4 linked regions of the Lepisosteus oculatus genome follow. The protein of the gene in region 1 purifies or fractionates together with the protein of each later gene. This does not show direct contact. Links are inferred from orthologs where the notes say so. Each region holds a gene or a part of one and is shown on either strand. Other genes may lie near its edges.

Region 1 (7,194 bases):
GGTTACTTTTTTTAAACCAGTGGCGTGTCTATCCCAGCTCTTCCTACAGCTCTTCCTGTAGTGTTCCCTGTATCCAAGTGCCGGAGCTCTTATCCCTAAGGAGATGCCTTTCGCTTTGTTGTTGTTGAGGTGGTTTTCATACCTAGGCCAATGGCTGTTTGATGAAGTTTAGCACTGAGCTATTGCACTGTTTTCTTGTGAAACAAGCTTTTGATTATTACAGATTAGGACATGCTAGAGAATATTAACGGAAAAAGCCCTGCATTTATAACCCTCCATATCTGTGAGAAGCTCTGCAGCAAAACTGGATTTTCATCTTTTCAGCAAAAAAAAAAACCCATTCAAAATAAGAAAATACAAGCGCAAGAGCCCTGTAACACAATGATCTTGTTTATGATGCTGTGTGGTGCTTCTTAATTGGTTTTGTAATCACTTAAATAGGATAAAAGAAATGTCTTCTGGGCATTTCTCAAGCAAGGTTAGTTTTAAGAGATGTTATTGTTGCTCTGCAGCAAGTGGGGACAGAGGACAGCTTTTACTTGGAAAGTGGAAATTAAAGAATTGATCCACAAAAACGCTCACATGTTTTTCAGTGGTGGAGTCATTCTTGCCTTAAATCATGCATCTTTGGTCAACAATGCAGTCTGGGAAAGTATGACCTCCATCTGACCTCCACCTTTCAGCTGAGCTGTTTGATCTTTTCTTCTGGCCTACTTTTGCTGAATGGCTTTTATTGTTGTTGTTGCTCTGTTAATGAGAGCAAAGGGAGAGTAATTGAATATCTATCGATTTTCAATATAATGCGTTTCCTTAGATGCCGAATGCTGTTTGAACGGGAAATGTTATCAATTGGATCTGACATAGTAATCAGGTTATTAATTTTAACACTAAAGCAACCCAAACCACCACTGTTTCCACCTGTATACATTTCTCACAGAAACTGAAACTGCATTGAAGCGCAGTAGCCATACCTCGTGTGGAGCTGATGTTAGACACTGCTTCAACTTCTTCTTTTTTGTCAATGCAATTTTATTTTATTTACAGGCAGAAACCAGAAAGGAGCTCATGTTTTGGCTCAGTGGTTCAGACAAGCATGTGTAGGCAGTATGACAGGCCCTTGTGCTCCTGAAGAGAAGTGTGTGCCTCCAGCCTCTACTGTCTTTTCAGGAAAGAAAACTACCCAGTAGAGTTTCAGATTGTTTAAATGTGTTTTTTATGTGACTTTTTTATTTGCATGTTGCACACAGATGGACCAACCCATTTTTTAAAGGGACTCTTTAGTGAAGCTGTAAGTCATTTTTAATGTCTGGACATAAGCCACCTATGCTTTTTGAGCGGCAGTCTGTGGCTTTTGGTTTCGCACTTTGTGATTTTGTGTAAAGCTTTATTTTAAAGTCGTGAGTGTGCAGTGATATCTTGCATTCATGCTTTGCCACCCTGTAGACCTTTGAGCGCCTCAGCAGTGCAGATTGTTCCTGATGAGGCAGTGTAGAGATGTGTTTTAATGAGCCATGGTGAAGATGAGAGGTCTCCAAAGGTAATGCAGTTGACTCCAAGCAGGATTCCAAGGAGTGCTGCTTTTTTTTATCAGCAGCACATTAGAGCCACATCTTTAAGACACTGGCTCAACAGCAGGACTTTGATCCAAACCCAGAGCAAGGTCTGATTTAAGTACAAACTAGTCCAGTGAGAGTCAGTCTTCCCTGTACGGTACATCAGCTTTCAGTCAAAAATGCTTCTCTGCTTAAATTATTTGTGGATTTCAGACTGGTTATTTATTCAGTCACACCAGGGCACGCACACTGAGGAGCGAAATATTATAATGATTTTAATTGCTCCATGAACAGTTATCTTCTTTCGGCTGAGCTTTCTGAAGTGCTACATTTTAAAAATTTAAAGGTGCAAGCAAGAGATTTAATATAGGTGTGGAAAAGAGACATTTTTTTTCAGCGGAATACAAATTTGGTGTTATAAATAGGCTTCATTTGTAGTGAAAATGTTACCACTTTAGTTAAAAGGTTTGTTAGTGATTCTGCCTGACTGCAGAAAGATGTCCCTTGATATTGCTGTGTTGGAAAGTGCTTTAAAGTCAAAGCCTTCTGTTTTTTAGATACTCGGTTCCTTATTTTTTGGTCCAGTTGTCTGTGAATCATCGCTTACTTTGTTGGTAAGGTGTAGCAAGTTTGCAGTAAAGCACTGCTGTCTAGTGTGTTCTGCTGGGGCTGTATGGGAATCGTTAAGCGTTGGGAAGGAGTGGAGAGCTCCTGCCTCAGTGATCACCAGCTTTTAGCCATCGGAACCAACCTGCTTTCAAAAGGCTTCCTTCCGCTACGGATCAAACCTTTCATCAGCGTGTTAAAACAGTGCAGTGTGTTGAGGAATGATAAAAGATGCACATCCGAGTCTTCATTCTTTTGGAATTTGAGCCTGGATGTGCCGTTTTCCGTGTTGCCTTTGGGAAGGGCAAGGCGGCTCTGCATCGGTGAACTGTTGTTCGAGCACTGTGGTACGACAGCGTGTGTGCTTCGCTCATGTTTGCAGTAGTGATGCTAACAGGTCTGGTGCCTTCATATCGTAGCTGCTGTAGAATATTTAACCGCTTGTATCAGGCGCAGTAACGCATTGGCTTAGCTTCTGTGCATGAAATGTGATGCTTTTGCTTTGCAATATGTAGTGTTTTTTGTGTGAAGGAGATTGTCAGTCATAAACATAAACAATGTTGAAGAAATCTCTTGAAGTTCCTTATCTCGGGCTGGTCCTGAGACAGTGTAGCAATTCCCTTATAATTATATAATGTTTTAATGTAGATACCATGCAAACGTATATATAAATACGTGAATACCCTAATACAGTTTTGGAAGGTGAGCTAAGTCATATCATTATTTACCATGAGTTGTTTGCAAAGGCACCACCCAAAAAATACTCCATCTATAATTTGTCATATTGAGCTTTAATATTTTCATATCGATTGTACAAATAAAAATGCTTGAAATCACTTTACTATGTATTTCTGAATGTGCAAAAGGGAAATGTCAAGCTGTTTACTAATAAAAACATTTATTAAAGAACACAACGTCTGGTCAGTGGCATCTGTTCCAATGCAAAAAAGTTTCAGATTGGATTTTTTTTCTTTTAGTACCCTCTGACCAGATGTCCATGCTTCCCACAAAGTCATCAGATCAAGTTTTTGTTGAAGCCTGTGAAAAGATTAAAATCCGGATTTGGTACAGATGTACAAAGAGATCTTTACCCAGCAAAACAATGACTGTCAATTACAAACCAGTGCGAACAATCAGTATACCCCACCCCTAATCAACCCACACATACACAGTTTTGATTTATACCTGTACAAAAACTTGATAAAATCACCATATGAGTCCAAATCCATCGTCGCATTAAAGTTTTTAAATCCCAATCCCAAGAGGTTAGAAGGTATGCAAGTAATTGATCTGAAAATGTCGATGTTTTATCCTAACTCTTCCACATGACGGCCAGGGGATCTTTCTGCGGAATGTTCCCCCGCTGGGGGAGCTGCGATTACTCGCTGGCAGCAGGAGGATAAAGTTACGGTGACATCAGTGAGATTGAGAGCCAGCAGCTTCCATCTCTATATATGTCGTACTGGAGGTATGTGCCTCCCCGCTCAACGCTGCCCTTTGAATTGTGCTGAGCAGGCCAGAGTCCTGCCGCCCTGACCTTCCACCCCTTCAGACTGGCACCACGCCCACCGGCGGAGCGACGCGGACCCTGCGCTACAGCACAGCTGAAACTGACCCCCGTACTTTTCTTTTGCATCGGTAAAACGTGTGCAACGGGAGCTCGTGGGGGAAAAACAAAACAAAAACAAAGGAACCCGAAACGGATCGAACCATCTCTGTACTCCCTCAAGATGGGTAAAACACTCCTGAAGCTCATGCAACTTAACACAGGAGCGGCTCAGGTGCGCTGTTAACACTGTTCTTAACCCTGAAGCTGTACAATGGGCCCCCGATGCAAAATATATATATTTTTTGGTCATTATTTTTTGAATCGGTTATTCAGTGCTGTAGCCTAGGTGGGGGAAGAGAGAGAGAGAGACACACCTTGCACCCGGGGCCAGTTGGAGCCCCCCCGCCGACTGGGTAATGCAGGGGCCGTGACGTCACCGGCAGCCTCTCTCTCACCTCCTTCCTGCTGCATCATCACTGCCGCTAGCAGCTCGAGCCGCGCTCCCCGCAACCGAGCGACCGTTCACCCCCCTCGCTCCCGGACCGACAGCCCGCCGAACCGCTCCGAACCGCCGGGACATGGCCAGGCAAGAGCAGGTCCTCCTTCTAGAGCCGCAGCACGAACTGAAATTCCGAGGTAAGGAGGAGGAGAGGCGGGCCCGAGCAGAGCCGCCCGCCCGCCCGTCTCCAGCCGACGGTGTGTGCGGTGGGCTCCTCTGAAGGCGGCGGCCATGTTGAGGAGATAAGGGGGGTGGGCGGCGCGCATAGCGGGCTGGTGTGGGCCCTTCGGTCGCCGGGGAAGACGCAGATGGAGCCGTGCCGCCGGGCAGCCTTTCGCCGGCGCGGAAGGCAGGGCTGTGCAGAGGCCCCCCGCGTTTCCTTCCCCGTCTCCCCTTCGGCGTACCCTGTTTGGTCCCGCGGCCTAGGCGTTAGGACACGGCAGGGAAGTCGTATCTGGCGCTGTGTGTGTATGTGTCCCCCCCCCCCTTTCGGAGAGGTTGACTAGGGTCATGACTCTGCCCTGAACCCCCCCAGCCCCCCACCGTCTTGCAGCGGGATCACAAGCGCCTCTGCTTCCTTGTCGCCCGGCGGCCCGTCTCCGGGGAAGCGGCCGTCTGTGCTGCAGCGCCGCCGGCTCGGCTCGGCTCTTGCACACGGTGTACAGGCCGCCTCACTCCAGCGCTTGATCTCGTTTGTGGGTTTGATTTCTTTCTTTTTGGGGGGGGGCGTTTGCGTTTTCTTGTTTTGCGACGGGCGGCCGGCCGGCCGGCCGGCTTGTGCGAAAAGGAGCGGTCATCTGTAGAGGCTAGGCCACAACAACCAGCCTTCTGAGCCTTACGTTATGAGGGATCAGCATGTCAGTCCAGCTCTGTGTGCATTTAGATGGGTGTTTAGCACGTACAACAGTCAAGCGTACTTGCAGAGATGCAGTCGTGCAGATGCTCCTGTGCAGAGATTGAAATGGTGACTGTCATATGTAAATAAACTTCTTCTTGGTGTAAGTTTCTCCCTCTTTTTAAAGCCAGCAATGTGCTGGTACAGCTTGTGGATCAGATCCTCACTCCTGGCTGGTGGGATTACAACCCACTCTGGACACTGGAGAGGAATTAGCGGTGTGGTTTTGCCCAGGGCAGTGAATAGGATGTCCCACACGTGCTCGGTGGTGACCAGCCCATACAGTGGCAGAGGCCAGGATGTCTTGGCGTGAGCTGGGTCAACAGCCCTGTCAGAACGCAAAGGGAGGTGGCTCGTGGACAGGCTGTGTCATCCCGGGGAGTCCTGAGTGACCGGGCCCATGTCGCAGCCTCTGGACAGTCCACTAGCTGGGAATGTCTGGTGGCCTCACTTGCACCCTGCACCCGCTGCGGATGTGATGGTATATAATTCCTTGAAGGTAAAAATGTGTTGCTGTACAGGTGTGCTCTTCCATATACAGACACACACCGTGTAAAAACCTGGATCTTCCCGGGGAAAAATAAAAACTTGGACCTCTAAATTCCATGGTAACATGCCGTCTTGCTGACCTCCCTTCTGCTCCTTCGGGCCATCCGATCATCGTGTGACATGAAAATAACAGCGCTTCCAAATGAGACCAGAACCAGTCGGGTCACCCAGCCATTTCTTGGAAGAGCCCGGGGTGTCATCTTTAATGGCACGCTTGGGTGGGTGGGCAGCTTGTTCTGCTCTCCCATCAGCCTCTGGGTCAAGAAGTGCCCCCTCAGTCGCTGCCTGCTTGCGTGTGTCAGACCGTGGGTATTTTATTTTGTCTGCGTGGCTTTGTAAGACTGTGTTTTAGAGTGTAGGCCTGCAGCATTTTATATGTGCATTAAGCTTCAGCCTCCAAAGCAAATAAACCTTTATCTTAATCCATTCAGATCTGCATTTATTTTTCTCACACCTGTGTGGCTCGGTGACGGTGAACATTTTTTTTTAGACGATTGAGTCCCTCTGGGACTCATCACAATTAATTGTAACACAACTGTAAAAAAATAAAATCAATTTTTTGTCCGACCTTCCTAGGTTTTTGGCAGAAGTTAGCGTTCGTGTCTGAATAAAGGAGGAATGCCGAATGTTGGTGTTGAAACCCGTTTATACTGCTCTGTTGCACTGCGCCCACTTTCTGATCTTGCCAGCACGGCTCTCTCTGCTCCCTGTTTTTAGTGCCCTTTGCCCTGTGGGGTGGCTACTGCTCTCACCCTTCGGCAGAGAATACTTTCAGGCCCTTCTGATCTGAAAATGGAAAGATAGTTTACCATCCAGCTCCTAAATCTTTTTTTTTCCCTCCATTCTGAGTCATTGATTTATCATCTGTGTCCTTCAGACAGGCTTCTTTTTGTGGTTTTCTTTTGTGCGACTGAAAACTTTTGGGGGGCTATTTTTCAAGGCTGTTGCCAAGCAGTTTCTTGTGGTTTTCTTCTTCTGTTGACATAGTGGAGATGAGAGCTCCTCCAGCGATTAGCCAGTCCAGGTCAGAGCATTTTTTCCTGAATGGAACTGCGCTGCTAATATTTGGCACAGGCCCTGCATTGGTGAACTCTCTCCCGAGAGAGCTCCATAGAATTTCCTCCAGAGAGCCACTTGAAAGATCTGCCTTGTTTTCAAGGACAGCTTTTATCGGAAATATTTTGCAGACAATTAAATGTAATTAGGTGGGAATCTAGAAAAATGTCTTTGGTGCTTCCAGTGGTTCAGGGTGTTCCAAGGAGTTTTTAAGTAATAAAGTTAAGCTGTGCAAATACAAGAAAAGCCCTTTGATGCTAGTGTGGCATTTCGGGGTACGCAGTCTCACTCACACTTCTTAACACCACTCACTGCCATCCAGGTGAGTTCCTGCCTTTGGCCCTGTCCATCATTTCACTAATTCAGGTGCACAAGAGCCAAAGAAACAGTCAGAAGCTTTCCTGTTTCTTTTCCTTTCTTGTAAATGTGTGGTTCTTGGTATGAATCTTGCAGTACTGCTTTTAACTACAGCAACAGGATCTTTCTG
Region 2 (7,232 bases), on another chromosome or scaffold:
GAAAAAGGTCAAGTTTATAGAAAGCCTACTGAATTCTGTGTAAACAAAACTGAAGATTAGTCATTAAAGATAAAGTGCATCCTGTGAAGTGTAAGATGGTCATCACATATAAGTAGATAAGAGACTTATCTTTTGACTGAGCAATACTGCTAACACACATGAAGAAGACCGTATGGACCAGTGATTGAAACCCGATGGACTTTTAAAGGGTGTGCAACAAACTATCTTATTATTAACAGAAGTAGTATATTCACTCTGTAGTTGTGTAAGTAATAGCAACATCATATGAGAGATTTTATAAACAACATGAATCCTAAATGCAACTTTTTGGAAGTATACAGTGATTCACCATATCAAACGCTGTAGATAAAACAATCGAGAAGGCTGCAGAAATGTGATTTTGATCCAACGTGATTATAATATCCTTGAGAACCTTTAAGATGGCAATCACACCCTGAAAGAAAACAGGCTGTGTATCTGCTAAAAGAAAACTGTCTAAAAAGAGCTGAACTGTTTGCGAGCAATTTTTCACATGTTCTTAGAAAGGCAGGGAAAAGTGAATACAGATCTACAGCAGTCAAGAGTCTGATTTAACAGCCTCTTCAAAACAGAGACAGAACAAGGGACTATTCTGAGTCTGTTAGGATTACAAGGAGTTGGAATAAATGAAACAGCAGAGTAGATATTAAATGAGTGTCTAATTTGATCAGAACTGGTTCAATACCCTTGTGATCAGAGGTCTTATCACTGTCAGTCTTCCAAGTTCAGTTTGTATTGACTCAGTAACTTGCTGCATAATAAAAATGAAGGGACTCTGGAACTTGACCACAACAGATTCAACCAAATCAGCCTTGTTGTTAAAAATTGACCTAGAAAACACGCAACCATATCAGTATAAATGAGATGTTCAGTGACTGAATTAAATGTGTTTTTCGTTGTCATAACAGTATTTTGGCAGTACCTAAATTGACTTATCCTTCATAATTTTAATTAACTTCCAAAGCTTTGTGTAAGAGGTCTAAGAATATATTATTGTAATGTTTTAGAGCTTTTACTAGCTTTTGTGGACTTTTGTCTAACTTGCAGGAAAGATAATAGTTATTTTCTGAAGAGGCCCTGGCATTGAACACTCTCGCACAGGGATAGGCCAGGGGCTCTCGCGATTTTGTTACTCAAATCAGCATCACGAGTGGTGAAATGTGATAATGTTGTTGATTATATTGCTAAAACAATCTTTGAAAAGATAACCAATCGTCTTCTACCGATGGGATGAAACACATGGTGTTCCAGTTCATTAAAACGAAATTGAATAGATATATATAAAACTGTATCCACCAAATTACCACGTTTACTGCATGGAACCCCAGCTAAAGCCAAGACAATGTTATCGAGCAGCAAAGACAGGGGCACTGCAATATAATATTTGGGAGAAAGATCCAATTTGAGTAGAAAGTTCCTCTGAACAGGTAGCTGCATCCACTGCCTTTCAAATGAAATGCTTACAAGACAGGAATGGGTCAACACAGTAACCTATTGTAATTTCAGCACCCAAACAAAGGACCCGTTACTACTTGTTTACAGTAAACTTCAGTTTACTTCATCTATAATGCCTTAAATGAAAGATAGATTTTCATTTCCGCAGACACACGGCTACCAACAAAAACTAACACGAAGTCCTGCTGGATCAAGGTGCTATTATCCAGAAGTAATTTGCAGGTAGTCTCGTGTAATAAAGCAGAAATCGAAGCACTTACCATTTTGCGGTAAACTCTGAATTACTTTCACTGCAGCATCAAATCGTTGCTCGTGGATTGGTTTTTCATCCGCCATTATGACAGAGGCTGCAAAAGAGTCAGCGACAAATCTTTAAACCTGGGGATTACAAATATGAACTGGAGCAGCTCACCAGCTGCATATAAGATTAAAGTGTACTTTTGAGTACCGACAGTCTTCAGAAAAGAACGACGTATTTGTTAAACGGTTTTATAACTAAATTGAATAATTACATGGTTAGTTACTGCACTGATCAACTCAACATTTCAAAGTTTCATTGAGCTTTTAAAAAGGAGAATTAAATATTAATCACTCGGCACACAGACGTAAACAGTATTTGCCGAACAGGTCATTCCTCTCGTGACATAGGGCTAAATTGTTACAAGAGTTCAAAATTACAAAGAACAAATTTGCACAGACTTAGCTACGTCCACACCTCAAAATTCGTATACCTGTCATACCCTTGTATATTAAATAGTTAAAATACTAGATAAACATGATGTACCTACTGTAAATACGTTGACTTCTCAAATACGTCTCTAAATAGGAACCAACACAAATCTGACATTAGCGCTACGTCCAGGGGATTTGTAGTTTTTTAAGGCCACGGGCGAGTGTACCAGAAAACAGAGTTCAGTCAAATTGACTACAAAAACCACAATGCAGTATTAAATATAGTGTTTTGTGGGAATTGTAGTAATATAGAGGATATTTTAATAAATTAACAGCCTTAATAAAGTATCAAGTCTCAATCTATGCATAATATTTTTACAGAATTGCGTGTGACAGGATTTAAGATTTCTGGAAATGTATTAATTTTCTTACATGCGTCTAAAGAACAATGTATATTTTTTCACGATATTTAGACAAGCATAAAATATCCATCATTTTAAATGCCTGATGAATGTATCAAAATAATTAAAATCAAGCTTAGTTCTAAGAATACACTCTTAGATTACGTATAGCATACATACATATACGAGTCACATCTTTTTCACCGACGTTCAGCGGATAGGAAGAACAGTTCAAATAGTTAAAGACAATTATCACGTTAAAGCAGGGGTGGCGGAAAAGAGAGAATATCTTCTGTCATCTACGCAAAGCGTAAAAGTTAACCGTCTATATCAGCAATGGCTTTCCAGTCTCTCTCAACGTATACATACACGCGCGAAATGTGTCTTTTCCCACACTTGATAGCGACAGTGTCATCATCGAGGTTTCGCTTCAAGACTACAGGTCCCAGCGTGCACCTCTGCGGGTTCCTGCGTCTCCCTGCTGCGGCGGTGCTCGTGTGCGCGAGCCCGGCTGGTGAAAGGTCGCGGTGGCGAAAGCGAGGCCAGGAATCCCACAATACCAGGCGGAGGAGCAGCTTTCTGGGGCAGAGCTTGTGGGTTCGATCAAAGGGAAGGAGAAGAAGAAATGCAGAGAGATGTAAGATGGCAGAGCTGCAGATGTTGTTAGAGGAAGAAATTCCAGCCGGCAAAAGAGCTCTGGTGGAGAGCTACCAGAACCTCACCAGGGTCGCTGATTACTGTGAAAACAATTATGTTCAGGTAAGAAAGGGAAAAAAAAAGAAAGCGATGTAATTCCGAGATGCGAAGTGGATGCCTCGGCTTTTTTTTCTTTCCCCGTGGAAGTGTGGGGAGCCGGAGACAGGAAATGTGAATGTTGCAGCGAAACTCGAAGGGATTAAAACGGGGTTTCAAAATCTTTTCGAAAATACCCCCCCGATGTGGCCCGTCTTTAAAGTTGTCTGCGTTTTTACCGACAGCGGCTCGTCCCTTATCGGCAGGGAAACGGCAGATCTTGTTCCCATTCATTTCCACCGTTTCGCGATCAGTCTGGTTCGCTAGTCCGGAGGGTGTGTCTTTTCCTTATCTTGTTATATTTCGACTGGAGGCTCTTGATTTAAATCCAGGAATGGCTCATTCGCCGACGGGGAAACGCATGTAGAGTTTAAATACGTGTAACGTTTTGGATCTCGTTTGAGAAACTTTTATTTGAGGGAATGGAGGGGCTCACGCGGTCTTCCGTTTTCGATTCTTTTCTGCACTAGTAGCCCGCATTTATCCAGTAAGTAATGCACACAAACTTGAGACGTGAAGTGTAAGATGTTTTTTTTTGTCCAGCTATCCGTAGTTATGTATGGAAAAGAGAACCGCTCTTTTCTGATTAGCGTGACTGTTTACTGTTCAATAGGCTGCTGTGTACAGCCGATCTTCTGGTTTAATACCTTTAGTGCATTAATGTGATGTAAACGCACCCCACGCTGCCAGGTACATTAGGTAATGCTGGTAATCTCCTCCTAAATTGCACCTTATTTGCCGACTCTTGCCCAATCGTTTTTAACACCACGGCGCCGCCGCTTCCTAGTAGCTGAAATTTGCCAATTTATTTTTCAACGTGAAGACTAACGGCGTGACCGCCACACAGGCGTATACAGTATGCGACGAAATCGGACTTCAAAAACTGAAGATTGACGTCTTGTGTATTCCTACGCCCAAATTGTGGTTTGGCATCTCTGGCGAGATGTCTTGGTTCAATAGTGTTATCATTGGGGGGGAAACGAAATGTAAGGTGTTAGTTAGCACGCGTTTTGCCGTTGGGTGTTTGAGGTGCTCCGGTTTTCATCGTCTTGAAGAGTAAACTGCCGATATAGTTCGCCATCAGTTGCGGGAGAACATGCCTTCATATGTGCCAGTGTCAACATGTAACCTGGAAGTAGCCGTGCTCCGTCACTGCTGGGGAAACTTGTGTTTCCAGGACGTGGCTGGCGGACGGCAGCTGCTTGTCCTGCATTCTTGAAATGGTTGAATCTGGCCGCTTGCTGGACGTGCTTTCCTTTCTGTAGCTTCATCAAACAGTTGAAGGTTTATTTCTTGCGTGCTGATAGTTGTCTAAACACGTTCACCTCGAAATATTTAAAGCAACCCTGATCTTAGGTAATGTATGTCGATACTGTATGACTGCTTAAAGCTTGCAAGGGGTATAGTATGAACTTATTCAAAACAGATTTCACAGGTGCACGTCAAAATGTATTCTTCAGTGATTACAGGAGTACTTACGAAATTGAACAACTCATTGGTCCCCTTTATGCACTATACCCGCAGAATATTAGATTTTGCACTGTGAGCCCAGTGTTTTGAGTGATTCTATACGTTTTATGATGGAAACATCTCACTTTGCCTTTTAATGACTGATTTTGATAGACTACCTCCCAGCTATTTTATTGAGAAAATATGAATACGTTAAATAAAGCCTTTAGTTTTAAGCAAAGCCCGTGTTGCCCTTTAACACACTGTGTTACTACTTCACATTAGCTGTTTGTTGTTAGTCGTCTGTGTGCAGTGTGAAAAGTGTCTGGGGGAGAGATTTTCTTAAAGTAACTGAAACCCTCATTTAGTGTCTGATTTTGGCTCCATTTTTTTCTGGTCTGATTTTCAAGGCTTCTGGTCAGTGGATTATAGTCAGCTGGCAGCCTAGCCTTAAATGCAGGTTCTTAAAATACCATTTTGAGGAAAATAAAAAACAGAAGTAGGTTAGGTTTGTGGTTAAACACTCTTTCATAGTCGGGGCAGTACAATAGATAGATGTCATTATGGATATGGCCAGGATGTTTGATCGCATGAACTGCAAAAGTGTTTTGTGGGTTTGATAGCTTACAAGCCTTTAAGGTGTGTCTGTCACAAGGCCAAAGGCCACTTCAGAGAAATATTTGACTTCCTGCTATTGACTAACTCTTGAATGGATTTGGGATTAATTTGTTCAGCACCAGACTTTTCCTTTTCTCCTTTGTGGGCCCATTTAAATGAAAATTTGCTTCTTTGAACTAAGGTGACGAGCGATGCAGCGACATCTTTATCCAGCGTCTGTCAGGGAAGCACGCGCATGTTCTCCAAATGAAAGGATTGATAATGGTCAAGGGTTTTCCTGTGCAGTTTAAAACGCAAGACACCTGATCTGTTCTATTGACATTCCAACTTTGCCTCTGCCATCAATAGGCCCTTTGTGCCCGCGAGATTACAGACAAGACAGTCCAAGATTTTCGACTGTTTTGTTTTAGCGAGGAAAGGCAAGTGTTGCCACATACAGCCGAATACCTAGATGGGCAGAATTAGTAAGGAAATGCAATGAGAAGGTTTTGGAGGCTTAATAACGCACCGTTTGGCAGGCATGCTGTTTTTGTTTGTGAAAACTCCGTAGATGTGACTAATTGGTGTAGCTGTTTGTGGGGTTTTCGAGGTAGTGTTTCTGAACTCTTAACCACAAGTCCAAGGCGTGGCTGTGTTCTGTCGAGAACTGCCTAAGTGAACAGTCCTCGCTGAGCAAGTGGCTCACCGTGTTTCCCACCCACTGATACGTACTGCCGAGTGTGATCTCTAGATCATCTGTACTAGCAATGCAGATTTTTCTCTCTTTAAAAAAAAAAGGCTTTATTTTTTCAGCCAAGCCCGAACCTGCGGTGAAGCTTGAGATGCGCTGCCTTTTTTTTTAAAGCGGTAGAAATGTTTCTTTTGAAGTAGCGGGAGGCTGTCGAACCCGAAAGAGCCTTAATGTAGCGGACGGCTGAAAGGCAGCAAGGTGATCATCGCTCAGCCAGTTGTGCGACTTCTCCTCCTCCCCCACCCCCCCTCGAGGCCGAGCGCTGGTTTCGGAACAGCTCAGAAGTTTGCAGGCCCTCTGCCCGGAGCTGATCTGCTGCTTGGTGATCTGCACTGCCGGCCATGCCTGTGAGCTCCTCTCACTCGAAACTGTGACCAGCCCGGGGCAGGCCTGCTGCGCTCCGCAAGCAGACATGCTGCTGCTTGCAGAACCTTACTGAGCATATTTTCCCTCCTCTGAGGTATCGAAGACAAATGGTTTCGCGGCCGCATAACCAGACAAGCCGCAACAGATGGAGGGAGCTGGTCCACGTAGTCAGTAACGAGGACAGCGATTGTCCCACTTGAATGCTTGAGAATCTCACCAGGCGTGAGACCGGTCATTGCTGTTTCCTTGAGCCTGGCAGACGAGAGTTTTTTTTTTTTTTTACTCTATAGGGAGATTGTTGATGAACATCCTATTTCTGCCACAGTGAATTTTATGGCAGCGCTTTCTGTCTAGATAACCAACCTGTCTAGCGATGATGTTGGCACGAGAGCAAAAATGTTCTCTCTGCTGAGCCGGGAGAATTTCGTTCAGCCGTTTGTGATTTTCGGCGTGCTTGACCAATGCTCTTTAGTGTGTGTGTGTGTGGGATGTAGTCAAACTACCTAAACAAAAATCATATCAAGGACAGACCCGAGAAAGTGTTTTCGTGGAAGATCAGGCAGGTTATAAGGAGTCTGACCCCTTCACCATTCTCCAAGAGAAGCAAAGTCTGACATTTTCTCAATGCAGATTCAATTGTTGTCTTTACATGTTTCAATACTTGGTGTTCGTCGCTAATCTTCTGTGTGTAGTGCCATAAGTGTGTCTGG
Region 3 (7,732 bases), on another chromosome or scaffold:
AGTCAACTACTGAAGAATAATTTAGAGAAAAGTCATTTTAACTGCATACTGTACATTAAGGATTGTTTTGCATGATCATTAATAGAAATGAACTGATTTATAAATGCAAAACAGTTGCACATTTCATACATTATACAGTATATATTTTTGTAGATATTCAAAGTGACTTGCAGGCAGTAATTTGTCCTTACAGTGCATAACACAGTAGAATGTTACATAAATGCTAATTTCTACATAAATAGTAGAAGTTTTTTGGTAATTTTACACTTCATGGTTTTTACTTCAAACAAAAACACATGCATAGATGCACACAAAAGCAGGCAAGTACTTTAAAAATTTGATGTTTTTTAAATGACAGTTCAGGCTACTCGATCAACAGAATATATTACTGTGGATACTCATTAAAAGTCTTCACCTGCTGGTACATGTGCAGGCCTTTGACAGTACTGTCATGCAGCTCACAACATGAGAGAGTTATGACTGAGCCAGCAACATTAAACATACTGTATAGGATTTTGACTACTTGGATGACATGCCCTGATCCAAGAATTCAAAATCCTGAAAGACCTTTACAAAGTTATTCTAGCCACGTTGTTGAAGGCAGAACTCGGGATTCTAGGAAGCAAAGACTGGATGAGATCCTCTGATGAATGAACTACTGTATCAAAAGAGCTAGATGAACCAGATAGTCACCCCATGTTTGTAACCTTACTTACAGTACATATACCTCCAGTACCTGTTAGTTCTTATAAACCTGCTGCTGGAGGAATTAATACATCACTTACATTTTGACCCAGATAATCTCACTCCGGTGTGCACATTCACGAAAATGGAAAAACAAATAAGCGAATTAAATGTTCTCATTGTATCGAAAAACTTTTTGATTATTCTGTTACGAGCAGTTTACCTTCTCCATCGCTTATCTGTTTAACCTTTTTTTTTCATGAGGCATGCTCATGCCCGTGAAGAGTACTGTTGTGGTTTCACCATTTCCATGACTACAGTCTACTAGGAAAAGGGGGAGGGTCCTTCCAGAGCGTGCTCCTTCCTTCCACATGGGAGGTGCGCTTGAATGGGATTGGAGCCGCTCCAGACATCACAGCCCTATTTATACAGCCCGCAGCGCTCAGCACACCAGAAACCTGAGCAAGCCTGAAGTGGGGGAAGACCTGCAGCTGAGAAGCTCTCTGACAACACTGGACCATTTATGGTAATTCTTCAGCAAACCCGTCTTTAAAGACGCATTGCTGAATTTCTGAAATCTCTGAAGGTAAGCTTAAGACTTGGTTTTTGCTCATAAAGTTATGTTTATACATAAACCGATTCATTGTTTAATGTTATCATAGATTTTTGTAATAATGTGAATTCTTTTTTTACACATCAGCAAGACAGCTGTATAATTTCATATATGACACACGTCAGAATGCCAGCTATATATCAGCACTTATGCTCACAAGTTGTCTTCTGCTTTTACAGATTTGTGCGCTTCTTCTCTCTGATCTTTTGCCCATGTGGGTGATGGACAAAATCCGCGTGTCTGTGGAAAGAACAAGCCTGTCTCTCCCCATAACGGAATACAGTTTCAAAATCGGAGACATCATGTTTGGAGGAGATAAGATGTCGTCTGCGAAAAACAAAAAGATCTCCCTGTGCCCTAATATCATCACCCCCGACAGAATCCCCGAGTTCTGCATACCGCCGAAATTCCCCTCCCAGCAGGACCTCAAGACTGCTGAACTGAACAAACCCACTCCCAGCCTTAAGATTTCCTCTTCGGAAAAGGGCAGTCCTGGAAACGTTCCCCAGCACCGAGAACTGGTCAACACTCATGTGATCCAGGTGGAAAGTGTGGACGAGATGCCCTTTGACTATGGATACAGTGACGAAGAGAGCACCAATGCTGATCCACAGTCCCAAGCTGCACTGTCCTTGCCCCATCTTGCAAAAGCCCAGACCTCCTATGGGTTTTGCACCTTGCTTGAAAGCCCACACACCAGGAGAAAAGAGTCTTTGTTCCACAACGATCCCGGCTCCTGTGGGATCCCAGTGGTACTTCCCAGAGGCAGGTCCAGCACGTACTCAAAAATCTCCTCGTCCACCTTCAGCCTGAACGCCATAACTTCCAGGCTCTCCCCCAGAAGTTTCAGCTTGAACAGGCAGGGCACATTGGACAGTGACACTGCTTCATCCACAGAGTCCTCCCCTTTCAGCTCTCCCATGTTAAACAGGTCTCCCCCTAAATCCTCTCTGTTCAAGGCACTGAGCCAGGAGAAGCTGCTGTCCAGGACTGTGAAGAAATCAACAGTGTGCAGGAACAATTCTTTGTCAACAGACGAGGGGAGTTCAACAGACAACAGCCCAAATATCTTGAGAAGAGCATCTGAGGGCTTGATAGACCCCATGCCCTGTCCCTATGGCTTGACCCCCCCTGCAATTTTCCCAATGGACCTAGTGTACTACAGGGATAGATTCATGAAAGAAAGCCTCATACCCCTGGGGAAAAATGGGACCCTAAGACTTTCTGCTGAGTATAGCCCAGAGAATCAGAGGCTCCGTGTGCGCTTGATCAGTGCAGAAGGACTGTATGCCTTGTCCGTGGATCCCAAAAGCATCAACTGCAGTGTCAGCATCTCTCTTCTGCCGGGAAAAATCCAGAAGCAGCGCAGCACTGTGATCCGGAAAAGCCGGAACCCTATTTTCAACGAGGACTTTTTCTTTGATGGAATTTCTGAAGAAGAGCTGTCTTACAGGTCTCTCAGGTTTAAAGTTGTTAACAAAATGTCAAGTATGAAAAGAGATTATGTTTTGGGAGACTGTGAGCTCCCTCTGAGCAGCATTTCACCTGCATAATGATTCTACAGGACACCTTTTTTACTATTTATATGTATATACAGCAAAAAGTGTTATTTATTTATACTTTTATACTTTGCTAAATGCTGGTTTGATATTAAATGGCAATTTTGAAAAACATGCTCAGGTGTTGGGTGGTTCTTTTTTCCTCATACCGATACAGAACAGCTACTGTATTAGAAACAAAGTAACAAAATACTTTCACGATAAATGTCTGTATTCATCTTTATGTCCTTGTCCTTTAAACAGTTTGTGAGCCACATACAGTAAACCTACAAATAGAAAAATACAGTCTAAACAAGGCTATTGTGTATTATACCTGACTACAGCACAAGTTGATCCTTGTCAAAGAAAACATCAGCACCCTCAGAGATCCAGGTCTCCTTTATTGCAGGCAAGCTTGATTCATATATTCATTTACTAATTGTAAAAACAAATCTATTTCTTTCTTCTGTAAAGAGCAAGTCATTTAGGGGGTTCCTTCTTAAAGAAGTACTGAAACTGCTTTAGTTTCATTCAAGTAACAGCTGTAAATCCTACAGGTATAATTCCAGATATACATATCCCAGTGCTTTCAAAAGCTCTTTAACAAATTAAAAAGGTTATGTAGAATAGTAAACAAAATAGGTAAATGTGATGTATTTTTATTGTGATGTGAGGAATACACTTACTGTGTTCAGAATTTTGAATCTTTATATATGAATAGTAATATTCCTAATTCTTGTATTCCAGTTTTAGTTGAATACTAATTTAAATCTGATACATTTTGAAAGTGATTTGATATGAATCATTAGGCACTCTTCTACTAGTACTGTACGAGCATTTTAACATCAGGATCAGAAAGAGATTATCAAGAGTCGCCTTTACAATCTGTAAACAATGAGATGGAAAATCGGGAGATCGTAGTGTAGAAGTTCCCACTGGAACAACGTAAACGTGTTACCTGTAGGTGTGTTGGAATTCCGTCTAAATAAAATAAAAGTTCTATCCACAAATTATTTTAACTAAAATAAATAGTATTCATAGTAAAAATATTAGCATTCAGCAGAAGCAAAAATTACACTAATGATGTTAAAAATCCAGTGTCCGAACTGAACAGGAACTACAGGAGGGTGCACTTTTATAAAACACGTTCCAGTTTTCGGTATGGAAGTGATCATGTCTTTGAAACAGTATACCAAGAAACAGCTCTGCAAGCCTTCAGCGGTTTTAAAAGAGCCGTAAACACGTTGAACAACTGAAAGGTGTGCATGAATATTCAGTCAGCTACAGTGAGAACTGTCTTCAGGTGTACTGTATATATTAATTTACACGGCTATGCCTTCTCAACAAACTACTAACAAACTTTAGTAGTTTCGACGAGTAACATAAAGTGCACACATTTAAAGATTGTAAGAAGTAAGCAGGAAATCAAGCGTATAGGATGTTATATTTTCCTCTTCTTAAACTGATATTCTTTCCAAGGTTACATATTTACAGAACATAAAGTATCACAGCATAACACTTGAATTGAATATACGAAACAACCACATCTGATAAAAGATTAATTTTAGATAAGTGCCAGCTCTTTCGCTGTTAATTGCTTAAATATATATTATTACATCATATATTAAAATATTTCTAAGTCATTAATTACTTCTCATTTACCTGGGTTCACACTAAGATATCTTATTGCAGTGACTATAAGCGCCATAAATGTATTAGCTTAAAACTCTTAATCGTTTTCATTTAACTTGTCAAACCTTTGCAAACAGCTCGATGACAGTCGGTTCAAAGGTCAGGGTGACCACTGCACCCGCAGGCTGAATTACCGTAATACCGCTGCGGTCACACTGATTGACTGCATCCGCAGACGGTGTCCGCCGCCAGTATACTGTACAGCTCAGGCAAAACCAGTTGATTACAGAAAATCCTACCCTTTCGGTTTAGCACTTGTACTACAAAAGGGATGAGCCAGGCATCACGGGATTGTGCTGCTCACACTGCATCGAGACAGCTGCTTCTTTAAGACGGAGGCAGGGTGCACCGCTGTTTAACCATGGTGTTTGAGTCTCTGGTCAGCGATTTATTAAACAGGTTTATAGGCGACTATGTGGAAAATCTTGACAAGTCTCAGCTGAAGATTGGCATTTGGGGAGGTAGGATTCTGCGTGCATGTTAACGTTTTCACTGCTTTGTAGCTATTGCTATTAAGACGGAATCAGGAAAGTAACTCTCATGGTTCAGGGCCAAAACATGTCAGTCTCGACAGTTGTAGCCAACTGAGCGAACAAGAGTGTATTACAAAACACATCACATGACGAGCGAAAATGCCTAAGTCTTAAGTTTGCAGTATGTTGATTTATTCAACGCAGTACAGATGTGTTGATTGTCGCATTTGAGGTGTACAGTATACGGTTACCCAGCTGTGTACACGTCCATAATTAATGTTTACACTGCTGTGTGTGGGAGGGGGGGTGCTGTACACAGTGTACGAGCCCAGCAAGGTTTGTGTTTTTCAGTGTCTTGATGAATGCTAACGTCGCCTCTCAATCAGAATCAACGCCTCTGAAGGAGTCTTTAGCATGTGAGAGATAAGCCACAAGTGAGATTTGATAATACTCTTCTCTACTTGTTTATAAATAATGCTAAATGAGAAACTGAAATATCCTGGGCGGTCTGCGTTTTTTGGCATCCAAATATTAAGAAACCTCTTATTTCTAATTAAAATATAATTCATTTTACTTCATTTTATGGTGTATAACTTGGGTGGAGTGGTGGCACTGTGGCTAAGAGGCTGTGCCTGTGGCTGGAAGCTTGCCAGTTCAAATCCTGTGGCCAGCAGAGGAATCCTGAGCAAGGCCCTTAACCCTAACTGCTCCAGGGCAAGTGATCTTGTCTTGACTTATTTTTGAAGAGTGGAATTGTCCACAGTTCTTTTGGAGCCGACAGCATTTTCTTTTTTGCTCTCACTTATGTGACAAAACCAGTTTGAGATGAAGACAAAGCTTCTAATGAATTATTTTTGTGCAGAAAACGTAATGATAGATGATGTCAATATGATATGTGTTTGAGAGTTTAATCCTGCAAATAGGATTTAATAGCAGCCAATATAACCAGGTGGATAACTGGGCAGTATTTCTAGACTTAGTTTTTCTGCTTTTTCCTAAAGAAGTTTGGATATATCGATGTACTTAATGTACAGTATATAAAAGATGGCAAAAGGCAAAATTTTAAGACCATTCATACGATGTTGTAGTGTCTGAAATATCTATCAAGACAGTATTTTGTGACATTGTCCATAAAATATTTGTCATCTGTTATTCTTTGTCTAATACAATAGAATGGCATTCAGTTGAATAATATATGTTTGGGGATGGACTCTAGTGTTGCATTTGTTTCTCAAGGCTTTAGAAAGGCCTGAGTAGAGTAGTTTCATGGGAGGAGCTTAATTCTTGGAAGCCAAGCACGTGTTTCTAAAATTGCCTTTTGCCATGTTCTGCCACAATAAAAAGGTGCCCAAAATTGTGACCCGTTTCCCTGTGAGACAGTAACTCCGTTTCAAGCACATTAATGTGCAGAGACACACCTGACATTGCTGATGTTCATGGGTGTTTCAGTGTCATGGATAATGACGTATAACTAGACAGTGGTAAAACAATCATTATTCTTCTTTTCCTTCACATGGATTGTATTATACAGATATTCTTTAAACATTTTCAGGTCCGGTCATGGAGGCCAGTTTTAAAATGTTGGTTGCTAGCTATTTCTCCTCAGTTATTAACCTCCTACAAGAATCCCATTGAAACAGTCATTTTGTTGGCAAAAATGTTAACTTCAGGTACTGAGTATCTTCATTCTTCTTTCTCCACTTCAGTAATGAAATGACTCAGTCAACCACAGTATAACAGTATACTGTTTTCTTTATTCTACTACTGAATTCTTGTACTTTTAATTAACTCCTACAGTAGTGAAAATGAATGTTGCACAGTGGAGCTTTTAGAGGAAGAACGTCTACAGTGTATTGCATAAATCCCTAGATAAACTAGACTGGTTTGTCTTGTTATGCTGTACATTGACAGAGCTACAGTACAGTACATTAAGAGTAAGAATGTTGTCTAGTATGTCATTGACTTTTCTTAGGGAAGATGTGTTTCATTCCCTTTTCTGATTCTGTAAATTGGTTTAAATTATTGAAGACAATTCTGTAAAACAAGAAAGAAGAAAGAAAAATCTACCACAAATTCACCCAGGTCTCCACTGGTCATGTCTTTTGAAACAGCTCTTACCTCATCATTATTTGTGTTGCTTTCACAATCTGTGCATGGTTGAAATCGGGTCTAAATCATTAACTTGGGTTCTGCCCACCCATTATCTTCTAATTGCTAATGCCACAGTTTTGTTTTGGTCTAAAAAGTTAAACAAAATATCCCTATTAGTGTTGCTTAAAGTAAAGCACTTGGTGAACTCAGAGAAGTCTTGTCTTTTGCTTTTATTAAGCTTGTTATATTCTCTACCTTCACAGTGATTAGCAATAACCATGGACACCAGAAACCTGTGTGGACAATTTTCTTTACAAATTAACATGATTCTAACCTTGTCATTGTCTAATAGTGATTGCCCACAGATTAAAATGTCCTCATTAATTAAGCAACTATTAACTTGTTAGTTAATATTTATTCCTCTAGTACAAGGTTTTATTCATCTGTGCACAATGAAGATGCAACAGTCTTTAAAGGTTTATTTCAGAAGTTGATTGGACACATGCATAATGTTATTGTCATTTTTAAATAGCGTGCAGAAAGGTTTTGTGATTGTATGATTAGCTTCATCCCTTGGGATAACAAAATACCAGTCTCAATGTTTGATTTCTGAGTTAATATTATCAGAATAGGTTGGCATG
Region 4 (7,450 bases), on another chromosome or scaffold:
CAGAAAGTTACTGCAAAAATAATGAAGGCAAGGACCTTGTGAAGCTGGCTAATCAGCTTTTTATACAGATAGAGAAAGCAGACGACTGCACTCTGGACAATATGGAGAACACCAACAAAAGCAAACAAAGAGACCTAATTTCTTCTTTTCCATCAGTGCTGTTACCTCACACAGCAGCATGTTTCAGTCTGACAGGCTTATATGAAAGTCCTAACACACGCAGAAAAGAGTCCTTGTTTCACACAGACTTTGCAAGCTACGCCTTACAGAGGAAACAACACATAGCCAACAAAAAGTTTGCGGCTCCAAGATCAAGCAGCCACACAAGCTCTACAAATATTACACACTCACTCAAGAAGCAGGGGACAACAGAAAATAACACCCCTTCCTCCAATGAATCCTCGCCCCACAGCACCCCCGTGCTACCTCGATCATTTTCAGGCACCTGTCTCTTCAAACTGTTTGGGCAAGAGAGTTTTCTCAAGGATATTTCCAGATCCAGTTCGAAGCAGTCTCTGGGAGGGAACAGCTCCTTTTCTACTGATGAATGTAGCTCTGGTGATACAAGTCCATGTACCTCAGAAAAGTCTGAATCAGAAGGAAAATCAGAAGCTCCAGGTTGTTCCCTTTCCCCTCCAGTGCTGTTTCCCCTTGACCTGTTACACTGCCAAGAAAAGCTACGGAGAGAGCATATCATTCCTCTTCAGGGAAGGGGCTGCATCCGGCTGTCATTAGAGTATGATTCTAGTAGCGCCACAGTCCGAGTCCGCGTGGTTTCAGTGGAGAACCTGTATGATTGCAGCTTTGAGGCAAAACACATTAACTGCTGTGTCATTGTCTGTCTCGTCCCAGGCAAACAGCAAAAGCAGCACAGCACCATAATCAAAAACAGCAAAAACCCCATTTTCAACGAGGACTTCTTTTTTGATGGGGTTACAGAAGAAGATCTCCAAAGTATGTCCTTGAAATTTAAGGTCATTAACAAAGCCTTCAGCCTCAAGCGGGACACACTTCTGGGTGTTATCTCAAAGCCTCTTTCCCAGTTATTGCCTTTATGAAAACAAAATGTGCAGATATTCAATACAACGTGTCCAGCATTCATGAAAAAGAAGGACACGTGACTCCTTTTAATTCATATGTAACAGTTCTGAGGATGTTTTATTTTCTTAGTATTTTAAAGTATGTGTGAAGGCTTTTGATTCATCTACACGCTATTTCAGAGTATTTATGCTTTTGGAATCTTCCTTATTGAGTATTTATTATGTTCTAAAGCTCCTTAACATAACATTTCCTTCCCCAGGGATGTATTGAATGTGAATCTGTTCTTTATGTACAGTATGTTATATTCATTTAGGAACTGACATACAGATTAGGTGGGTACACCTGATACTAAAAAATTGAGTATACCCTTTGATAAAATACAAGGGACTGATTTACACACCAGAGGTGAATATAAATATATTTTACTGAATTATATTTATTATCCCCACAAATGTTTGAATTTTACTCATCATCATTAAATAAAATGGAATAAACCAGAATTCATTTTCTGAAACTAGCAACTACAACTTTTCTGTGTCATTGATCCCTTAGATGCTGGCTTAACACATGCAAGTTCTTGTTTTCAAAACACCATTTGTTGAAAAGATGACAATAACTTCTCACAGAATTATTCTTTAGTGTTTTGTGATTCTGGACAAGATTTTTTTCTCGAGTTGTCATTTGGTAGAAACAGCTTTTAAAGCACAAACAAGCATGTTAATACTGTATTAATCTTCACTCTTGGATTCTTATACAGCTGCTTTTTTGAGTCGTACTTAAAAACAGCCTCAGCTTCACTACTGCCACTTGAGATAGTTTTTGTTAAAACAAGTAATAGACTGGACTTTACCAAGGAACTGAACGTATGATGAGCACTGCTTCGAGCTAAGTAAGCCACTAGCTCAATTATGTTATTTTTCTTCAATTGTCTTTCAGGCAGAGTTCCTTACTATTTTCAGACTTAATTATATTGCTTCTTTGCAGACTACTTGCTCATTGCTGTCTAAAGTAAACTGCTCATCAAGAGCCAGTTGTGCTTAACAATGTGTTTCTGACTACATAAAAAATGAAGAAAAAATCGTATAAATACAGTATATACTGAGAGGTATTAGAAATGCAATAAATGCTACTGGCTCAAATACTTATTTGAGCATTTTTAAGATAGTTTTTTACCACCTTTTCACATGTAAAAGTGTTAAGAATTCTGTCTGCCTCAATATACTTTTTCTTTTTTTTTCTGGTAACATGGTTGTACGGCCCAGTTATGTTTCCCTTATGTATAAATGTGTCGTGCTGTGTGTGATTTTGTACATTTAGCAAGCAGACACTTGTGTGCAAAACCTTCTGTGAATCTGACTTCAATTATATTGTAGAGGAGAATAAAATCATATTTACAGATATTTTCTGTTGTGTGCTACTTTTGCAGACAATGGATAACTGGCATTGGTTATCAATGAGTTCTATAAGCAAATTAAATTAATATAGTATCCTTGAAAAATAAACAAATGACTTGAAAATCTTATTTGGGAAAATCTGAAAACATTTCAGGAGAGCGGACTGTGAAAGAATAAAACAGAAATTAAGAGAATGAGAATGGAGTAGGATAAGCATGAAATTTGTAGAGAACAGATTATTAAAAATTAAAGATACTTTGCTAGATCCACAGAACAAATTGATCCTGAGAGTAACCTTATCAAAGGCTAGAAAGCTTTAAAAATCACTTTAATAAATTAATTCAGACAAATCAGCAGAAAGATTGCAGTTAAGAAAATTATATAAAAAGAATTAGGGCCAATTAGGGAAAAGGAGTATAATAGATTACAAGCATGGGTAAAAATGGATCATCTAAAGCCAAAGAAAAAATGTTGCAATGGTGTAATATATTTGTGTTGGAGTAAAATACAAATTATATTGAGGCTTGACAAAACTAAACCCGGTAGACCATCTTACTTCTAATGCTGTATCAGTGTTACTTCATGTAGCAGTACGGAAACAATAAAGAGAAGCAAACATTGCGTGGCCTCAAGAATCTAGACGAAAGTCAATAAAGAAAGGTGGGTCCTTGACAAATAACTTATAGCTCCAGTCCATTTGAAAACCAACATTATATTCTTTATCTCTGCGAGTCTAAAATATCTGAGTCCTTTCTGAGAACTATCACATTTTCTTAATTAAAAACCATTTTGATAACTTGCTGCCCACACAATGAGAGCACTTTGAACACTATACATTTCTTTGTTCCTCTGGTACAGAGCTTTGCAAGGGTCCATGTAATTATTTGTCATTTACACTCTGATGCAACCACCTTTCAAAGCTCTTATATATTGTACTACCACATTATTATTGCCTGTTCTGTTTATTTAGCATGTGCACTGGATGCACTGGATGTTACCTGACCTAAAGCTTTTAATTTTGCCTCTGTTTTGCAAATGTATTTGAACAAAGAAAGATGCTGATAAAATTCTTATGATCATTTACAACCTTGAAACATAGTATATGAAAACAAGATAGTAGAAAATAGTGCTGTTGTGGAAGGAGAATGTACCGGTATTTTTGCTTATTGAGGTTAATACAAAAAGAGCATGTAGTCATATTAGACATTTGTCATGAGGTTAAGTGTTTTGCACAAAGATACCCACTTACCTTAAGGTCAGGGTTTTAAAACAGACGGCTGGCATTTGGGTGCAAGTAGTGAATTCCCAGGATGGCACAGATACCTGCAGAGGGGTTTCATGGAAACTGTTGACTGGAGGAGTTGTGACTGCCGAGATATAAGGACTATCCCGCCGCACTTCAGTTCTCTGGTTTTAAATGTAACACAGTTCTCCAACTTGCCTTTTAATTGAATTGAATATCTCTCAGCTGGTGCTTTGTTGTGATGGCAATGTAGTGACAGTAGGATCCAGACCCGGGGTGCTATCTGCAGGGTTTCCTCCTACAGGCCCTGGTGTGAATGTGTCCGTCTCAGAATTATTCTGAACAAAAAAAAACATTAAAAGCAGTTAAAATAAATTAAATAAAAACCGTGTTTGACTCATTGGATAGCACCGTTATGTTTATATTTATATGCCCTAATTTCTCCCAGTAAAGCAATCGTTTTGCTGCAATATCTTCATTATCCTAAACACACTATCCTGATGGGTACAGAGCGTTATAACCAGACATGTGTGTTTCGTTACTAAACATCGTATTAAATATTTAATGATTTATTGTAGTCTTTTAAAGACTGTGAACATTTTAATTTTCTTCATGCGACGTTTAGGCTAATTTCCCAAATTCAAGGCGTTTGGATCTTCCAAGTCCACCAGCAGTGTCAACTTCGTTAATCCGTGAACGCGCGTGCCATGTGGGACGCGCGTGCCCAATTCAATGCTCAGTGCCGACTTCGCGCATAAGACCTCCTCTCTAGTTCCGGTGTGGTTATTTCAGGAAATCTAGATAGTTTCGAGGTTGGCTGACAACATGGTTTCTGTGGAGTGAAGACAGCAACATGGTGTTCGAGTCTGTGGTGGTTGACGTGCTGAACAGGTTTCTCGGCGACTACGTGGTGAATCTGGACAGCTCGCAGCTCAAACTAGGGATATGGGGAGGTAAAACTACATGATATGTAATCGTCTGTGTCCTCAGCGTTTCCAGAGACATAGCTGCTTGCCAGCTGTCATTATCACTGCCGCCGATCGCAGTACAGTGTATAGCCTAACGAGTTGGCCACTTGTATTACTAAGTTTGTTTCACTCTGCATGTGCCCATTGTTCCCGTATTTTAACTGTTAATTTCAGACGATCACAGTGTGAAATATCTTCCATAGATCCTTTTAAATCGGTATGCATTCTTGCCGTCATCATCACTAGTTAACATTGGGCACGCCTGTTTACGGCAGACCGTATTATAATGATAGCAGTGTCTACAAAATACATCTACTGTAGCCTTTCCAGCTCTTTACTATTTAAATGAAGGTTCACAGGATACATTTTGTTAGTGGAGGTGAAAATAAAATCAGAGTCCGAGCGTCTTGTCTTGTAATGCGAAGATGTGTTTGAGATCACGACTTTGAAGCGGCGTTTTCCTCACCCGGCCCGGGGAGTTAAGGTCACTGGAAATTAATTGCTCTGGTGGCCCGGGTGTTGAGCGAGGTATAGTACTGTAACGTGCACGGGAGGAAAAGACGCCAAGTCACCGTCCGAGCCTTTGGCTTCTGTTTTTTATTAAGGTTAACATGTTACTTTACACTTCCCTCGCCTATTTCGTCAGTGAATGGTTAGGCTAGTTAGGTTTGCATTCCTGGCTGGTGTTCTTCGACTGTCCATCCTAAATATATCGGGGATATACTGGGAGTGGGTCATTCTGCATGCTATAACCGCACCCTTACAGTGCGGTATCCTCCTGTGTTACTTAAGCTACTTCACATTGTGAAACTGACTGTACATAATCCCTGTTTTTACGGATAACAGCCACAGAGTAACTGACGTTATTGTATGCCCATCGCTACATTCTGTATGTAGTTCCAGCCTTATAGTAGTGGTAGTAGTCGGAGTGATGTTAAACTTGATCTTTTTAAGATTACTATGTGTGTTATTATAACAATGGTCTTAGCAGTTGTGCTATTAATTACTTTGTCTGTGGTTAAACATTGCACACTCTCTTTAAAATAGACGTGTGAAACAATATGTGCATTTGGAAAAATGTCCTTGATCTGTGAACGCAAAGATGCGTGCCTTCACATGTTTTGTTGGCATTGAGGGACGTTCTTTGTTTAGAGAAAAGGTGAAATATCAGGTAGAGAGTTTTTGAAGATTTGTCTTGGTGTAATGAAAGAAAAAACTTGTCCTGTTTAATATCCTATATTAAACAATTATCCTGTTGTTATGTAGTAAACAGGCTTGAGAAATGGACACACCACAGAGGCCGTTTGTGTGGCATTATCCGCAGCTGTAGGAAACGTAAATTGAGAGAGATGGATAGATTTTTACCAAGATAAGTAAAACAGAAAGTGTGCGAACATTATCAACATGAGTACTGCACATCCACTTCCCTGTGTCCTGTATGAACCAGAATGGAGAAACAACAGCACTGTTCCTGTTTAATTGGTATTCTTCTTATAGGTTGATTTTTTTTATGACAGTTAAGATGTTTGGTGTATTATGCTGTGCTGGAAAGCTGTTATAAAAGAGAGTGATTAGTCAACTTTTTGTATTAACTGTTAACTTGTTATTTAATGTCTTAATATTTGCCTCCCAGCTGGTCCATATAGGATAGACTCTTGTTTTAAGTTGTGCTGCTTGTTTTAATACATGGTGCTTTGTGAACATGTCACAGTGCTTGCATTGTTGAATAATTAACAAGCTGTTTTTATGTAGAAACCTTTACAATTTAATGTTGCTGCTCTAAACAGCTAACTGCGTTCTGTAGGCAGACCGTGCTCAAGTATACCTACAAGGAGACTCTGAAATCCTATCAGGCTGCATTAAAGAGGCCTAAAGCCAAGAGATTTCAATGGAATCAGCTTGGCGGTGTGCATTTATAGCACACCAGTTTCAAGTACATTAATTGATTCATCTAGCACAGGGCTAAGAAACCATGCTGGTGCATTAAATCTACCCTACTGTGAAATGCTGATGTTATTTAGATGAAGTATTTTATAACAGGACAGCTTCAGTCAGTTTTCTTAAGTGGTTCCTTCTGCTTTGGAGAAGAATTAACCAATACAAATTCAAATTAGCAAAATATTTGCTGAATACACTGTGGTGTGAATTACTATTTGTGGGTACTGTGTCTGATAACCCCAGTTGTTTACTCTGGTATATAATTCAAAAAGTGCGAAATGGAGTCTGTACATCTCGCTTTTGAACAGAATTGATCTTTCATTGTGAGTAGGCTCTATGAAACAGTTAGACGGTATTTCATTGCAAATGCATAAGTACTGTACCTTTCATAAATGGTAATACTCCAAGAGATCTACAGCAGAAAATTGTTTTTCTTAGTTTTTTAAACCTGTAATTTTAACATATGTATAGCTAAAATTATTTTCCTTTTAGTGACCACATTTTGCCAGCTGGTTAAGTGTTTATACAGTACATACTGTATGGACATATTTTGTATAGCAGTTAAATAATGTTTGTATTTTCACTGATTTTTAACAGGGCAAAGTGTTGTGCTGCACTGAATTAACACTGTTGTTTGTTAAGCTTTTACGTATTATTTTAAACTACATGAACAATTATCATTTTAAGAAATCTGCCATCATGCCTTGCAGAATTAAAGCATTTGCAACAGAGCCTAACGTGTACAGCTACCCTCTTTATTTAGAATTACAGCTCTCCAGGTTCCTGTGCCTGTTCTCCCCGAGTCCATCTCGGGCTGTGAAGCAGGGGGATATTCAGTACTGTGCAGTGGGTTTGGTGCTTTGCTT

The links.
Region 2: the proteins of vapb (region 1) and acbd5a purify together in Homo sapiens (affinity purification with mass spectrometry; 4 studies listed by BioGRID and IntAct, counting the BioPlex papers as one, with this or other methods). This does not show direct contact. The link is inferred for Lepisosteus oculatus from reciprocal best matches to the Homo sapiens genes VAPB and ACBD5.
Region 3: the proteins of vapb (region 1) and vps13c purify together in Homo sapiens (co-immunoprecipitation; 3 studies listed by BioGRID and IntAct, counting the BioPlex papers as one, with this or other methods). This does not show direct contact. The link is inferred for Lepisosteus oculatus from reciprocal best matches to the Homo sapiens genes VAPB and VPS13C.
Region 4: the proteins of vapb (region 1) and vps13a purify together in Homo sapiens (affinity purification with mass spectrometry; 3 studies listed by BioGRID and IntAct, counting the BioPlex papers as one, with this or other methods). This does not show direct contact. The link is inferred for Lepisosteus oculatus from reciprocal best matches to the Homo sapiens genes VAPB and VPS13A.

The regions. Positions count from the first base shown.
Region 1 is NC_090711.1:1,779,162-1,786,355, forward strand, and holds the start of vapb (vesicle-associated membrane protein-associated protein B/C), read left to right. Parts: upstream 1-4,173; 5' UTR 4,174-4,286; coding exon 4,287-4,344; intron 4,345-7,194. UniProt on the Homo sapiens protein: Endoplasmic reticulum (ER)-anchored protein that mediates the formation of contact sites between the ER and endosomes via interaction with FFAT motif-containing proteins such as STARD3 or WDR44.
Region 2 is NC_090701.1:40,793,981-40,801,212, forward strand, and holds the start of acbd5a (acyl-CoA-binding domain-containing protein 5A), read right to left. Parts: upstream 3,018-7,232; 5' UTR 2,986-3,017; coding exon 2,937-2,985; exon of another isoform or gene 2,748-2,936; intron 2,371-2,747; exon of another isoform or gene 2,279-2,370; intron 2,229-2,278; exon of another isoform or gene 2,210-2,228; intron 1,842-2,209; coding exon 1,755-1,841; intron 1-1,754. Other genes in the region: abi1a (abl interactor 1a), read left to right, coding at 3,210-3,326. UniProt on the Homo sapiens protein: Acyl-CoA binding protein which acts as the peroxisome receptor for pexophagy but is dispensable for aggrephagy and nonselective autophagy. Binds medium- and long-chain acyl-CoA esters.
Region 3 is NC_090700.1:57,745,242-57,752,973, forward strand, and holds the start of vps13c (intermembrane lipid transfer protein VPS13C), read left to right. Parts: upstream 1-4,711; 5' UTR 4,712-4,888; coding exon 4,889-4,988; intron 4,989-7,732. Other genes in the region: c2cd4a (C2 calcium-dependent domain-containing protein 4A), read left to right, coding at 1,510-2,850. UniProt on the Homo sapiens protein: Mediates the transfer of lipids between membranes at organelle contact sites. Necessary for proper mitochondrial function and maintenance of mitochondrial transmembrane potential.
Region 4 is NC_090698.1:59,497,105-59,504,554, forward strand, and holds the start of vps13a (intermembrane lipid transfer protein VPS13A), read left to right. Parts: upstream 1-4,436; 5' UTR 4,437-4,531; coding exon 4,532-4,631; intron 4,632-7,450. Other genes in the region: C2 calcium-dependent domain-containing protein 4C, read left to right, coding at 1-1,058. UniProt on the Homo sapiens protein: Mediates the transfer of lipids between membranes at organelle contact sites. Binds phospholipids. Required for the formation or stabilization of ER-mitochondria contact sites which enable transfer of lipids between the ER and mitochondria.